Arabidopsis thaliana: one gene and its partner. The protein of the gene in region 2 purifies or fractionates together with the protein of the main gene of each other region. This does not show direct contact. Each region holds a gene or a part of one and is shown on either strand. Other genes may lie near its edges.

The links.
Region 1: the proteins of GAUT1 (region 2) and HAP6 purify together in Arabidopsis thaliana (affinity purification with mass spectrometry, with the first as the bait; one study listed by BioGRID). This does not show direct contact.

What each region holds. Positions count from the first base shown.
Region 1 is NC_003075.7:11,276,683-11,284,416, forward strand, and holds HAP6 (ribophorin II (RPN2) family protein), read left to right. Parts: upstream 1-1,746; 5' UTR 1,747-1,856; intron 1,857-1,948; exon of another isoform or gene 1,949-1,961; 5' UTR 1,962-1,963; coding exon 1,964-2,109; intron 2,110-2,244; coding exon 2,245-2,437; intron 2,438-2,516; coding exon 2,517-2,606; intron 2,607-2,846; coding exon 2,847-2,909; intron 2,910-3,117; coding exon 3,118-3,187; intron 3,188-3,337; coding exon 3,338-3,402; intron 3,403-3,738; coding exon 3,739-3,793; intron 3,794-3,916; coding exon 3,917-4,038; intron 4,039-4,121; coding exon 4,122-4,237; intron 4,238-4,621; coding exon 4,622-4,691; intron 4,692-4,939; coding exon 4,940-5,044; intron 5,045-5,145; coding exon 5,146-5,235; intron 5,236-5,317; coding exon 5,318-5,466; intron 5,467-5,649; coding exon 5,650-5,761; intron 5,762-5,843; coding exon 5,844-5,927; intron 5,928-6,049; coding exon 6,050-6,130; intron 6,131-6,218; coding exon 6,219-6,443; intron 6,444-6,527; coding exon 6,528-6,650; and 4 more. Other genes in the region: AT4G21140 (copper ion-binding protein), read right to left, coding at 809-1,540.
Region 2 is NC_003074.8:22,619,917-22,626,308, reverse strand, and holds GAUT1 (galacturonosyltransferase 1), read right to left. Parts: upstream 4,398-6,392; 5' UTR 3,998-4,397; intron 3,913-3,997; 5' UTR 3,911-3,912; coding exon 3,760-3,910; intron 3,433-3,759; coding exon 3,407-3,432; intron 3,308-3,406; coding exon 3,248-3,307; intron 3,158-3,247; coding exon 3,032-3,157; intron 2,943-3,031; coding exon 2,879-2,942; intron 2,802-2,878; coding exon 2,755-2,801; intron 2,641-2,754; coding exon 2,306-2,640; intron 2,212-2,305; coding exon 1,854-2,211; intron 1,744-1,853; coding exon 1,165-1,743; intron 1,071-1,164; coding exon 795-1,070; 3' UTR 501-794; downstream 1-500. Other genes in the region: AGL13 (AGAMOUS-like 13), read left to right, coding at 5,843-6,024. UniProt on the Arabidopsis thaliana protein: Involved in pectin biosynthesis. Catalyzes the transfer of galacturonic acid from uridine 5'-diphosphogalacturonic acid onto the pectic polysaccharide homogalacturonan.

The sequences.
Region 1 (7,734 bases), on a different chromosome or scaffold from region 2:
ATTCTCTCTAGACTAGCTACCTCAGCTTTCAAACTATGATGATCCTTGGAGAATCGTGGTCTTTGTAGCTTTAGGACTCTTGCCATTGCACTCTACTGGACCGGGTAACAAGATGCAGAAAATGATATGGAGAGCTTGAAGAAAATACCCAGAAACTATGCATTTGAATGAAGAAGCACAAGCAGATGCAGGACATCCTTTCCTACATAACATTCTGCTGAACTTCCAACACAAAGCTCACAGAGGACAAACCTCAACTCCCATATTGATTAAACAGTTGTAATCTTGGTGCAGAACTGTAGATTCCAAGATAGTCTGCAGTTCTTATCTAGGAATATGGTTTTGGTAAGGATAAAAAGTTATACCAAGTTTGAGCTGATCATGACCCAGTGGCCTTCCTAAAGGTTAGAATATATGAAGAGACAAATCCTAAATGTATGAGTGTACAGTGTTCATACACATAATACTGAAAAATGAAGATTTGAAAGAAGTATGCAAACAGGCAAACACGATCAAGGAAAGAGATACAAAAGAGGTTTAACAAGATTCCATTTACATCCTAGACAACTTCACCTCTCAGAAGGCCGATATGAAACAATATAAAGTAGAAAAAGATTAAACTTTCAAGCTTCAACTAATATTCTATCATATAGTAGCAACTGCCAGTGACCATTTTATTTCAAGTAGATCACAAAAATAAAGACAAATGTCTCAAAGTTATATCCATTGATCGAAATCCAATCAACACAACTAATAAAACAAGAGAAAACCAATGACGCAAAGACAAATTCCTCTAACCTTAACAAGATCATCTCAACTTCTCTTTACCAGAGCTCTTCCTAGCCGCAGCATTCATAATCCTCTCCAAATACCCTTCAATAGGTGGAGTAAGCGTAGCCGTACCTCGACTCACCGGAAACGGAGTCAAATCACGCACTAAAGCCGCCTTCTTCAAATTCTCCGGCAATGCCTCAACCGCAGCGTTCCTCATCTTCATCAAACTAATCTCCGCTACACGTCTCGCTCTATGCTCTCTCATAAGCACTCTACTATACTCTTTCGCAAGTCTAATCCCATCCTCCACTGTAACCTTATACTTTGGTAACTCATCTTCCGTAAAAATCCCTAACGAAATGTAATCCAATCCTGGAGTCCCAATCCTCATCGGCGCAGTAGTAACTCCCATCGTAAAGGATCCACCTTTCTTCTGAAAATCAATCTCTTTTTGCCTCGCTTTACTGATTAGCCCTAGCTTCTCTCGTCTCGCTTCTCGCTCTCTTTCCTTAGGTCTCAGGTAACGAACAGGACAAGGAGCGTTTATGCATTGATCTGAGATTCTTCCTTTTCCCTTATCCACCTCATCACCACCTCTGCCACCGCCGTTTCCACCGCCTTTTTTGATTGTGAGTTTGTTGCGTTTCAATGATTGGCCTGTCTTCAGCTTCGATTTTCCTTTGGGGGTTCCACTAGCGTAACATTTCTGGAGAAGATTGTAACTCACTGAGTCAATTATAGGTTTTGGTCTCGCGAATCTGATCATTTTCAGATTCTGATTTCCTCAGAGCTCTCTCTGTTTGAAATGAAAATGGTGATTGAAGTTGATCTGCAAGGTTTAGGGTTTCAAGGTACGCCGTCGTTTCATGAAGTGTAATTTAAGTTCAAATCGAGGGTAAATCGGTAATATCAGGTAGTGTCATCAAACTCACACTCATTTTTTAGCCTTCTCTCTGGTTCGTCGTCTGGTTCAAAAGCTATAGATCGATCCTAGGCTTACCTCAAACCTCAGTCTCCGTTGACTACTGAGACTCGTCGACCTCTGATCCGCTTCTTCGACTATACGGATCTACTTCCGATCTGTAAGAAGCTTAAATCTTCGGTTGATTTTGGAATCCATCCGTCGTAGATGTGTAATTGTATTGATTTGGATGAGTTTATCTGTTTTTTTGAGTTTTCTTATGCAGTGATGATGGCCGGAGGTAACGTACGGTTTCTGGTTTTGATACTCGCCGTAGCAATTTGCGGTGCTGCTTCTGTTTTCCAGCCGATCTCAGACTCTCACCGATCTGCGGCTCTGGATGTCTTCGTACCAGTCGATGGATCATACAAAAGGTTGGTTTCTCTATCTTAAGTCGGCATTGCTTTGATGTAGGGGTTTTAACCACATTTCACCGATTACATATTGGTTGCTCGTTAATGTTCATGAATGGTTTTTGTACGGACTAATCTGATTTTTATTACTATCAGCTTGGAGGAGGCATATGAAGCATTAAAGACTTTGGAGATTCTTGGAATTGATAAAAAGTCTGATCTTAGCTCAAAGACTTGTGAGAATGTGGTTAAAGTTCTTCAGTCGTCTTCTTCTACTCTTAAGGATGCATTTTATGCGTTAAACGTTAATGGGATTCTAAAATGTAAAATTGGTGAAGCTGGTCCTAAGGTAAACAATTGTCTCCTCTCAGTATCATAATTTTAACTATTAAGCGGCTAAAATAACCTTATCTTTTCCTCTTTTGAAGGACATTGTTTCTCAACTTCAAGCTGGTGTTAAAGATGCGAAGCTATTGCTTGATTTCTATTATTCTGTCAGAGGCTTGGTGCTGGCTAAGGTAAATACGAGTTAAAACTTTTGGTGGACATCTTGAGTGAGATTGACTACACCCTTTTTCCATAGAGTATTTCTAGGAGAGTTTTCTTAGTTTTTCGTGCATTATGTTGAAGTATGAAAATGTTTTGGCAGAAGGTACCTGTGATCGTGATTATTTTATTTTATTCAACTCCATAGCTTTGGCTTCCTGACTTTTCTTTTTCCTGGCTTCAAGTTTGACCTCACTGTTCCATGAATGCAGGAGCAATTTCCTGGAACTCATATAAGTCTTGGAGATGCCGAAGCCATTTTCCGTTCCATCAAGGTTTGAACTTGTTTAGCTGACCTTCAATTTTGTTGTTGTTGAACTATCAGATGTGACATTCATACACTGTCTTTTTGGACTATCAATTATAGACTCTGGTAGAAGTATATATATATTTTCGATATGTTACCAAAACTCAGTTACTATATTAATACTACTTAGATTGTTTTCCGGGTATTATTTGGCTGATATAGTGCATTTGTATCAGTCTCTTAGCCAGAGTGATGGAAGATGGCGCTACAGCTCCAACAATCCCGAATCAAGCACTTTTGCTGCTGGTTAGTAGTACATATTGGATTAACCCTTACCTAACGTTAATGATGAGCCTTTTAGATTATGTATCCCTTCCTTTCTTGCTTCAGCTTGTTCACTTCTTTTGCTCTTTGTTATTTCACTCATTCTTCTCAACATGCGATTTTTTTTCTCAGGCTTAGCCTATGAAACGCTTGCTGGAGTGATTTCATTAGCACCTTCAGAGTTTGATCCATCTTTGGTAAGTGAGATGTTTAATCCACTATACTTCTGATTTCCTGAGAATATATTTTGATGAGATATCACTACGATATGTTGGTTTAGTGATGATCTACTTTTGCTTCTGGAATCTCTAAGTAACTAAAATAAAGAGTTTTGTTTTGATAATTATAAATTCCAAATCTTAGCTACAGGGAATTGTGATTTGATAATCACAAAGAAAGATTCGTGTTTTGATAATTATGCATGTCCACCTGACTTCTCATTTGGTTATTCTGGTGGTTTCTTTTTCATTTTATCTGGTAGTTTATTAATCTTGGTTATGTAATGATCGTCATTCATGTTTGTCCTCTGTTAGATCCAGTCGGTGAAGACGGGTATCCTGAAGCTTTCTGACAGTATCCAAAAATATGGTATGCAGTAAATTACTTGCTATCCTATGTATTGCATGTTATATTCTCTTCACTCACTTCATAGTTTTTGCCAGCTTGGGTTTTGCATATGTGGGCTTTGAATTATTATTTTTGGTCTTTTAGATGATGGGACATTTTATTTTGATGAGAAGTCTGTTGATGCAAGTCAAGGCCCGATCTCAACAACTGCATCAGTTATTAGAGGGCTCACGTCATTTGCAGCTTCAGAATCCACAGGATTGAACGTATGTAATACCCATGTTTTCATGTATCCTATTCTGACAAATGTGTTGATAGTTGACCTTCGCATTCCCATTATCTCATGCAGCTTCCAGGTGATAAGATAGTTGGTCTGGCCAAATTCTTTCTGGGTGTTGGAATTCCTGGTGATGCCAAGGACTTCTTCAACCAAATAGATGCACTAGCTTGTTTGGAAGACAACAAGTAATACTACTTTCATGCCCCTTTGTGCATTTTCTTTGTGCATTTTCTTATTAGTTTATTTCAGTACACATCTTAGAATCATTTCAGTAACCTTGAATTGAGTGGTGTGAAAGACATAAGAGTTACAAGGACTTACTGTTACTTCCATTCTTTTGTGTTAAAGTAAAGTTGCTTATGAAAGAGAAAAACTGTTTCTCTTTACATTGTTAGAATTTTGAACAAAATGATTACCGAAGAAATGATATCTGTAGGGAAAGAGTAGAAGTTTAAAACTTTGAACACTTGTGAAATTTCAACCACTTGCTCATTTATTATGGTCTAGCTGAAACTTTATCATTCTATGGGAACAATAATTTGCTCTATGGTCATTCTCTATCATTTCAGGTTTTCTGTTCCACTCATCTTGTCTCTTCCATCCACTGTCATTTCATTGACAAAGAAAGAGCCTCTGAAGGTACCCATTCATAAGCTTGCATCAAGATTTGACTTCTAGTAGTGAAAGTCTTAACTTTGGACTTTCTGGCTATAACGGTTGGATGTTGGATTCTAGCTGGTATTTGGTTTAGAGATTGCTCAGGCTCATAGCATTGCATCTTTTTTGTAGAGATCTCTTATCTATTTGATAATGACTCATTTTAGTTGACCCTTCATCCATTACATTTTTTCTTATTTTAGATTTTTTTTCTCTTTATCTGGAACTAGGTTAAAGTTAGCACTGTACTGGGTTCGAAGGCACCAGCTCTTAGTGTGAAGCTTACACAAGCTCTAAGTTCTAAGTCAGTGGATTCATCTGTAATTAATAACCAGGTAAATAATGTATCTCTTACTGTTTGAGCTTGCAATAGAAATGTTCCTTATTCTCTGCATTAGGCCGGTTTACATTTTTCCATTACATTTTTGGGGTACAGGAGCTTAAGTTTGACGCTGACAGTGCAACGTACTTCCTGGACTCCTTTCCCAAGAACTTTGACATTGGAAAATATACTTTTGTATTTAAGGTATTGCACTTCTTTGGTTTTACTACACCCAAGACTTCATATAAATGTATGATGACAACATGATAAGCTTCGTTTTCTGCAGATTGTGCTGGATGAATCAGCACATGAGAAAGTATACATAACTGAAGCTCAAACAAAAGTGCCTATAGCTGCCACAGGAGCTATTAGCATTGAAAATGCAGAAATTGCTGTACTTGACAGTGACATTGGAAGCGTTGAATCTCAGAAAAAGTATGTCACCTGTATTGTTGATGAACAACTTCCTTTTTTGCTTATTTTGATTGATTGCTAATTGCTTAACCATTTTTCTTAGGAAACTTGTACCATTATTGCTTACAATATATATTTCAAACTTTTTGTTGTTGTGCTTAGTGTCTTCTTTTTGTTTATTGGTTCTCTCTGTAACATTTGTAGGCTAGATTTAACTAAAGATGGAGCGGTATCATTATCAGCAAACCACCTTCAAAAGCTACGCCTGTCATTCCAGTTAACTACTCCACTTGGCAATGCGTTTAAGCCACACCAGGTTTGTTCATTCTTGATTTTTCGCTTCATCAATGGTTATATTCTGTTCTATTCACTTTCTTGACTTGCTTACTTCCATGCAGGCATTTTTCAAGCTGAAACATGAGTCACAGGTCGAGCATATCTTTCTCGTGAAAACTTCTGGAAAGAAGTCTGAATTAGTTCTAGTTAAGTTCCTTCAACTTCATTTAAAATTGCTTTTGCAAAAAAAGTTTAATGATCAAGTTTGGTGAAATTAATGACGTCCTAAATACAATATTAATGGTTAATGTTATTTTCTTACCTTCAGGATTTTCTTGGATTGGTTGAGAAGCTCTACTACCTCTCTGGTAAATATGAGATACAGCTAACCATTGGAGATGCTTCTATGGTAAGTACTTTACTTTCAGGTCCAATGCAGTTGATGATTTATGTCTTCTGAGATTTGAACAGTGTTATTTTCCTTTCTCTTTTCCCAGGAGAACTCTTTACTGAGTAATATTGGTCACATTGAACTAGACCTACCAGAGCGTCCAGAGAAGGCGACTCGTCCTCCTCTACAGTCTACTGAGCCTTACTCAAGATATGGGCCAAAAGCTGAAATATCACACATATTCAGGATTCCTGAAAAGCTTCCAGCAAAGCAGCTCTCACTAGTTTTCTTGGGTGTTATCGTTCTCCCATTCATCGGTTTCCTGATTGGGGTCAGTCTCCCTTTGCTTGTAAATAGTATCCGAAAAACATCATCACATTTCTTTCACTACTCATATATATTTTTTATGTTTCAGCTTACGCGGTTGGGAGTGAACATAAAGAGCTTCCCATCGTCGACTGGATCTGCAATATCCGCTTTACTTTTCCACTGCGGAATTGGAGCTGTTTTGCTTCTATATGTGCTATTCTGGTTGAAGGCAAGTTTTCATAACCGATTATTGTTTGTTTGATCTACAGTTGAATCATTGCATCAAATCACAATTTCTTTGTTTTGTTTGTTTGCATTCTACAGTTGAATCATTGCATCAAATCACAATTTCTTTGTTTTGTTTGTTTGCATTCTACAGTTGGATCTATTCACGACTCTCAAGGCACTTTCTTTGTTGGGAGTGTTTCTGTTGTTCGTGGGACACAGAACACTATCTCAACTTGCATCAGCATCAAACAAGTTGAAATCTGCTTGAAGAAGAAGAACTCACTATGAAGGATCTTTTTTTGGTTTATGCGTATTTTCAGTTTTGTAGTATTGCTTATAGATTATGGTGATAGACAAATTCAAAAGAAGTTCAGAGTTTACATACTCTCTCAGTTTAGTCTTAAAAAGTAATCAAGAGTCTCTTTCCTTAGCTTTTTTGTTGAACCAAATCAACTAAGATAATGATTAGCTCATGATTAGATCACATGAGTTTCTTAATTATTCACACTTTATGAGTGTTTGTGGAAAGTTAAAAGGTCTAACAAAATTTTGAAATAGGCTGGCCATAAAATCGAAATGAAATTTTATATATAAAATCAAACCGAATTTCATTCTAGTCAAAATAGAAATAAATGCTGATAAAAATGTAGAAATTACTTTGGGTAGAAACGAGTCAACGAAGGAAATGTATTTGGTATTTGACCCTTAACATGGCAATGGCAACGTTACAACTTTTTTTTTTTTTTTTTTTTCTTGCATCGTTACAACTTCACAAAACTTTACAGTTGATTGGAAAATTAAATTTTAGAAGAAAAAGCACGTAGTTGTCTTTTCAGACAATTATTTGTTCATCTTGAATTTGTGTCCCAAGAACATATCTCTCTCTCTCTCTCTCCTCACCTTGGTAAGAACGTCCAATCCAATCTATAAATCTCCTTGATGGAATTTCCGTACATATTACTTGTTCCTTTCTGATCTCTTCTTCATCGGTTTTATGTTTCATCGAGTTTGAATATTTCTTTGTAAGTCTTTTCCTGTCGGTTATGTTTTCGTCGTTGAAATGGTTTCAGGAATTAACAAAGATC
Region 2 (6,392 bases):
GCTTTGGGATTTTTCTCTTTTGTTTCAGTGTTTGTTCTTCGTTTCGTCTTCAGACCTTAAGGAAGGGCGATTTGTATTAGTAAGCAATAAGCGTCGGTCCGATTTAAAGCCCATCTTCTATTTTCACTCAATTTGGGTTTCTATCATAGTTGGGATTTATTTATTTTGTAAAATTTTCCACTAATAGTCTAAAATCTAAATACTATCTAATTTTTTAAATTATTATTATATGTCATATTACCATTAAATAGTTGCTTATATAAAAAAAGAGAAACCACAATAGATTTTTTTCCAAGAAAATATATTATTTTGAATATTTACAATTGGAAAATAAAGATATACAATATGATCCAATACAAGAAAAGAATATGAACATCATAATGATAACAATTAAATTAGCAATGGAAAAAAAAAAATTGGATATCCAAACATAAATAAAATTTAAAATGTGTAACCAATCCAATTATTAATGATAGTTATTTATTTATTAATGACACATCAACAAAAAATTGGATTATTATTTTGACTTACAGTATATAGTAAATAGAGAGATAGTATGTGTTCTTCAATTTTTTCACAAGACCATCAAGAGAATCTCCAGAAACATATTACTATCATTAGAAAAACTCAAAAAATAACATAAGTGTTTTTAACCCGAAAGAAGAAGAGAAGAAAAGAATGACTAAAAAACGATATGAATAAACAATTAACAATGTGTGGAATAAAGAGCAATGGAATGGGAACAACAGAACATTAGAAGTAATTACCTCAAATCATCTAACAAAGATTTGATTTTATTCATGAAGGTTGCAACGACGAAGATATGGGTGATCAAACTTGATGTACTTGGTCCAATACGGCCGATATTTGGACATTGCCAACTCCAACCATGGTTTCATGTTCCCGTTATAGTGAACCACTGCTGCATTCTCAATGTCCTTCTTGTCGATACTCGGGTTATATCCAAGTCCCAGCACATGCCACGCCTTGTTTAAGGGATGTGTTAATCCGTAGAATGTTATTAATCCTGGTGGCAATGTCCCTAGCTTCCATAGTGTCCTGTTCTCATTCTAAACAACACAAGCCAAAATGAGCAAACCACAATAAATAAAATAATAAACCATCATTAGACTATTTGTTGCAAAGAATTAAAGAGTTATTTACCATGTTTTGCCACTTGTGGTATATACCAGTGATGTCTCTCTTCTTCCATTCCTTTAGGTCGAACATGTTCATTCCATAAGCCCATCCACAAGCATTTGGATTGAAGTTCCTCGCAATGTGAGGATTCGAAAAGTTGAGATACTTGTCGAATCTGTGGAAACTTTCCCCACAGGTTTCGACTGCACCGTTGACTTTGCCGTTCAGGTTAACTTCCCAGAGTGGAGTCAAGTCTTTCTGAACAATGATGTCATCGTCCAGGAAGAGGATTTTGTTCAGCTTGGGATAAACCTCAGGGAGGTAGAATCTCAAGTGATTCAACATGGATAGATACTTTGGGTTTCTGTATTTTAGATTCGAAGAGCCTGAAGTTGGATGGTCTGCTTTAAAATAGTACTCTCTCATTGCTGCAGATTCAAGCTGACGAAGGACAGGACAGTAAGATGAATTGAGCCACTTAAACTCATCGACGTTTTCCACATGTATGGTTGCCTTTCCGGGTGGGTTTAGGAGGAACCACATGTTCATTGCTCCGAAATTGAGTTTATCCGTGACAAGGTGAAAAACATGCTTAGAAGGATCCTGCACATATAGGGAATAAAGACATTTTTAATTTCAGCTCTGCAATGCGTATCTAAAATTAAACATACAGATATTAGGACGAATCAAGTGATAAGAGCTAATGATTTTACCTTGGCATTCATGATGGTTGAGTTAACAACTACTGATGCAGCTAATACATTGTCGGAAAAGAGGGCATAATGATAAAGATTAGGGTTTTCTAGGTTTTCACTCCGAGGGAATTTTCTTTTCTCCGGAGACAGAAGATAGTAATCGATAGTCAAGCGCATTGATAGGCAATGGATAGGATTTGGAATGGTTTTTGCTGCTAACTGAGCCAGAAAAGTACTCTGCTTCTTTAAGCTCCTCACTTGTTCGTCGGCAGTCTGAAGCATTGCTCTCAGCTTTCCAGTAACCAGCTTGCAGTCATATAACTGCATCTTAGCTTTAGCCAAGACTTGACCCATGGCTCTGAGTTTCTCATGCGCACTATATGAAAAGTAATTTAGAGAGCATGTTACTTTAAGAAGTACACAAGCAGTCGAAAAAAGGCAAGTAGTAGAAACCAAAAGGAGTAATTTACCTCCGAGGAAGATCAGCATCAGATGTTGCTTCCCCCAAAACCCGTTGGCTGTCCTTAAGTCGGGCCTGGAGTTCTTGTAACAAATCGTTCTTGTTTTTCAATTTTGCAATCCCACTATAGACTCTAGCCATTATTACTTGATCCCGCATCAAGCGTATATTTGAATCAGAGTTGTCATTCTCATTTTCTCTTCTCCAAATACTGTATTTACCAAGGACTGCAGAATCAACAGACTTAGAGCGTTCAATGGCAGCATTTTCGAGTTTCAAAATCGTGTCATCATTGTGCTGAACTAACTCATTTGCCCGCATCTCACGCCTTTTCTCTCTTAGTTGCTGAAATGTCAAGATGGATAAAAAAAATGTTGATAATGAAATACTAAAGACACAAGAAGTCCCTAAAGAGTATTTGATGCATCATGACATTGAACTTTAATAAATAATAGTTACCCTTCTGTGAATCTTTGTAGGTGTCTCAACTTTCTGATGGATACTATCTGCATCAGCAATATATAGAAGAATCAGAGATGGAAAACGTCAAATCAGAGATGCCACTTAAATTAAAAGCCACTACCTTTTGAAATGCTGTCACGTTTTTCATTCAGGTTATTAGATTTGACATCAGGAGTTGCTGGATTCTGCCTCAAGTACAGCAAAAGATGAAAACTATGAGAAAACATCATTGAGAATAGAAGCTTAGAAAAGAAATGAGACACTTAAACCACACCTCAGAATGTCTAAAGGAGGGGTCTACTCCGGTTCCCCGCCATGATGCAGACAAATTGTTTTTCTTAAAAGAATCAAGGCTAAGAGGACCCAAATCAGCTGTGCTGGTTGCTATAACATCTAGTATCTGGACAACAAATTTAGTAAGAAACTATCCAGTCTCAGAAAAACTGACAAAGACAATAAATCGAAGCAAAGTTTCAAAGATTTAAACTACCTCTTTCGAGAAAAGAGATCTAACAGATTGCATTGCTAAACGTTCTCTCCAGTCAAGATTCTGCCAAAAAAAACAAAAAAAAACAGTCCAATCAAACAACATTCTTACTTCTGTCAAAACATACAAGTAGATAATTTGATAGAGTTTAAGCCGACATACCTGCTTCACAGAAACAATTGAATAATCTGCAGTAATGAAAGTAAGCTCCATCAGATGGACAATTCGCAGATAAATTATATATGTAACACAAAATCGAGAGACACTAATCCTTGAAACCAAAGCTCGATAGTAAAATAGCAAAGAACCAATTTTGCCAGTCTAGAAAAATAGCAATTGTCTGAATATCATCAGTGTCACATCAAGCTAAAAGTAACTTAAAATTGAGATAGTAAAGGCTGAAAACTAAAGAGTGGTAAAACTATGCTAATGTTCTCAATCATTAATAGAATTTCTGAATCTCTATACATGAATCTGCAAATTAGTATATAGAAAGATAAGCAATATATGCATACCATTTGAGGAATCGATATACACTCCTCGGCCAACAAAGAAGCAAAGAGGTGCAAAAACACAGAAAAATATGAGAAGCACAAGCACAGATCGAGATCCACCACCACTTCCTCTAATCCGGTTAACTCCAGATAGCCCTCGCTTTAGCGCCATCCCTATCAAATTCAAAAAAAAAACTAAATCAAGCAACGAAATCGTGGAAGCAACCCGAATATAATGAAGGAGAGAAACAAATCATACTCGGAATCTAATAAGAGATCAGGTGAGAGAGATTTGAGAAGAATCCAGCGTTTACGCAAAAGCTTCACAGGTAAACAGACTAAAACGCCATTGCTAATTTCCCGGCGAGATCTGACAAAACTCTAGCACAACGGCGACGAAGAGAAAACTCGGAATTGAAGCTAATGATTACGATGAAGAAGAAGAAGAGAGTATGAAGAGGATGATGATTGATTGATATGTGTAACAGAAAAACGTTGATTCACCGACAATTAACCAATCGCTATCAACGCCAGGATTTTTGTTTGCAGAGAAGAGAGAACCTCACGCGTACTTTTGACACAGATCTCTTTTATCGATTACAATTTACGAATCTCCTCCTATCCGGTTTACTTGGTTAAAATTAAAATCGATATTATACCAAACGAACATAAAATTGATTTGTTTTTTCTTCCTTTTTTGGGCTGATGATAAATAGAACGATGACACTGCTTGCTTTCAAGTTTCGACTTCGACCCATTAATAATTAACTGGGCTTTTGTATATATTATAAGCCCAAGCCTATATAGATAGATGCGTCACGTTGAATTTCGCCTTTCTAATTTAATAGTTTTTTTTTTCCAGTTTTCATGAAAATACATTAATTTTTAATTTGATATGACAATTCAATTTTCATCTAGCAGTATAGTATGGCATGATTTTATAATTTAATTTACAATTTTGCATGTATGTAATGACTACACAAATTAAAAATGATGATAGTAATTTGTTTGGTTTATTACTAAATGATTTACAATACAGTGTAACACTGTAACTAGACCTAGTAATGGTTTTTTTTTAGCTGATTTTATTTTTAGTAATAATGATCAAATACAACCTTGGTAAATGTTTGATTCAGTTGTCAAACCATATAAATAAGATATAACCAAAATTTGTTTTCTCTTGAAAGGCTTTTTCATAAAAACCTTACTTTTTTTTCTTTTGAAAAGGAATGCAACTTTTCAACAACAAATGATGAACCTTCCTGCGCCTTTTGACCAATTAAAACTTCCCGAACTAGTAATAAACTTCACACACGTAATATAGTTACACTCTGTTTTTTGTCATTAGGGTCGATGTCTTATATGTTTTTTACTGACTCCACATCGGTTCAGGTTGAACAACATTTAGTGGATGAACGTTTAATTGTTTACATGTACAAATTAACCTTGACGAAATCATAGCCATTGAACAAAAAAAAAACAGTTTTATATAAGTGTTAGTTTGAAGAATCACAATAGATGTAAACTTTATTAAGTAAAAAGGTTTGGTCCAACTGTTGCATATCAAAAAAGAATATCAATTTTTCTTGAGTGCCAGTTTGAACTTTGAACAATATGTCATCAAATACTGATATTAAAAGAAATAATGATGATTTTTCCAGTGGTCCAACTGTATTTCCATACTTCTAATTCTAGGTAGGAGAAAGTTTTCGTTTTGTTCCTATCAATTAATTTTTTATATACCAAAAGAATTTTCATTTGGGTCAAACAACAGTAAGATCATTACCATTTTACACTCTAGCTATAATTAATAAACGGAAAGTGAATTCTTCTTGCATGGTAATTGAAATGAGAACTTTGTAATTTATGATGAGATATTGTCCTATTGAGATAAAACTCGGTTCCACTATGTATGTAGGGTTGAAATAGGTTGATAAGAAAAAGAGAAACTATAGGGTTAATAAATACGCTTTTTTTTTTTACGTATATCCAGCAATAGAACTAAAGTAATTCATTTTGATTGATATGTACATGTAAACTTCCAACATTGAGAGATATTAAAGACAAGAAACAACGTAGAAAGAAGAGAGAGAGCGAGTGAGAGATGGGAAGAGGCAAAGTGGAAGTGAAGAGAATTGAGAACAAGATCACTAGACAAGTAACCTTCTCCAAAAGAAAAAGTGGTTTGCTCAAGAAAGCCTACGAACTCTCTGTTCTTTGTGATGCAGAGGTTTCTCTCATAATCTTCTCCACCGGTGGCAAGCTCTACGAGTTCAGCAATGTCGGGTACGTATATCCATTCATTCAAGATCATTAATTCGGTTTTCCTAATGATGAAAACCTAGGTTTTCATGGGTAATATGATTAAGATCATCCATGTTTGATTTGTGTCTGTTCTTAAGATCAAGAAACCAAATTCTGTCTTGTGGGTATCTGAAAAAGGTTATGTCTTTTTATTCTAACCCTAACTAGTTAAGGTTGATCACCATCCATCGATCTCTCAGGATCCATCGGACATATGGGTCAGTTTAGCTTTTAGATCCGGTAAATCTTTTGAAAGAAAACTTCTTTGTTTTATTTTGGGTTTTAATTGTTATCACCAGCTTTGATATGTGTATGTCCTTAAGATCCATGAAACCTCATATATACGTTTT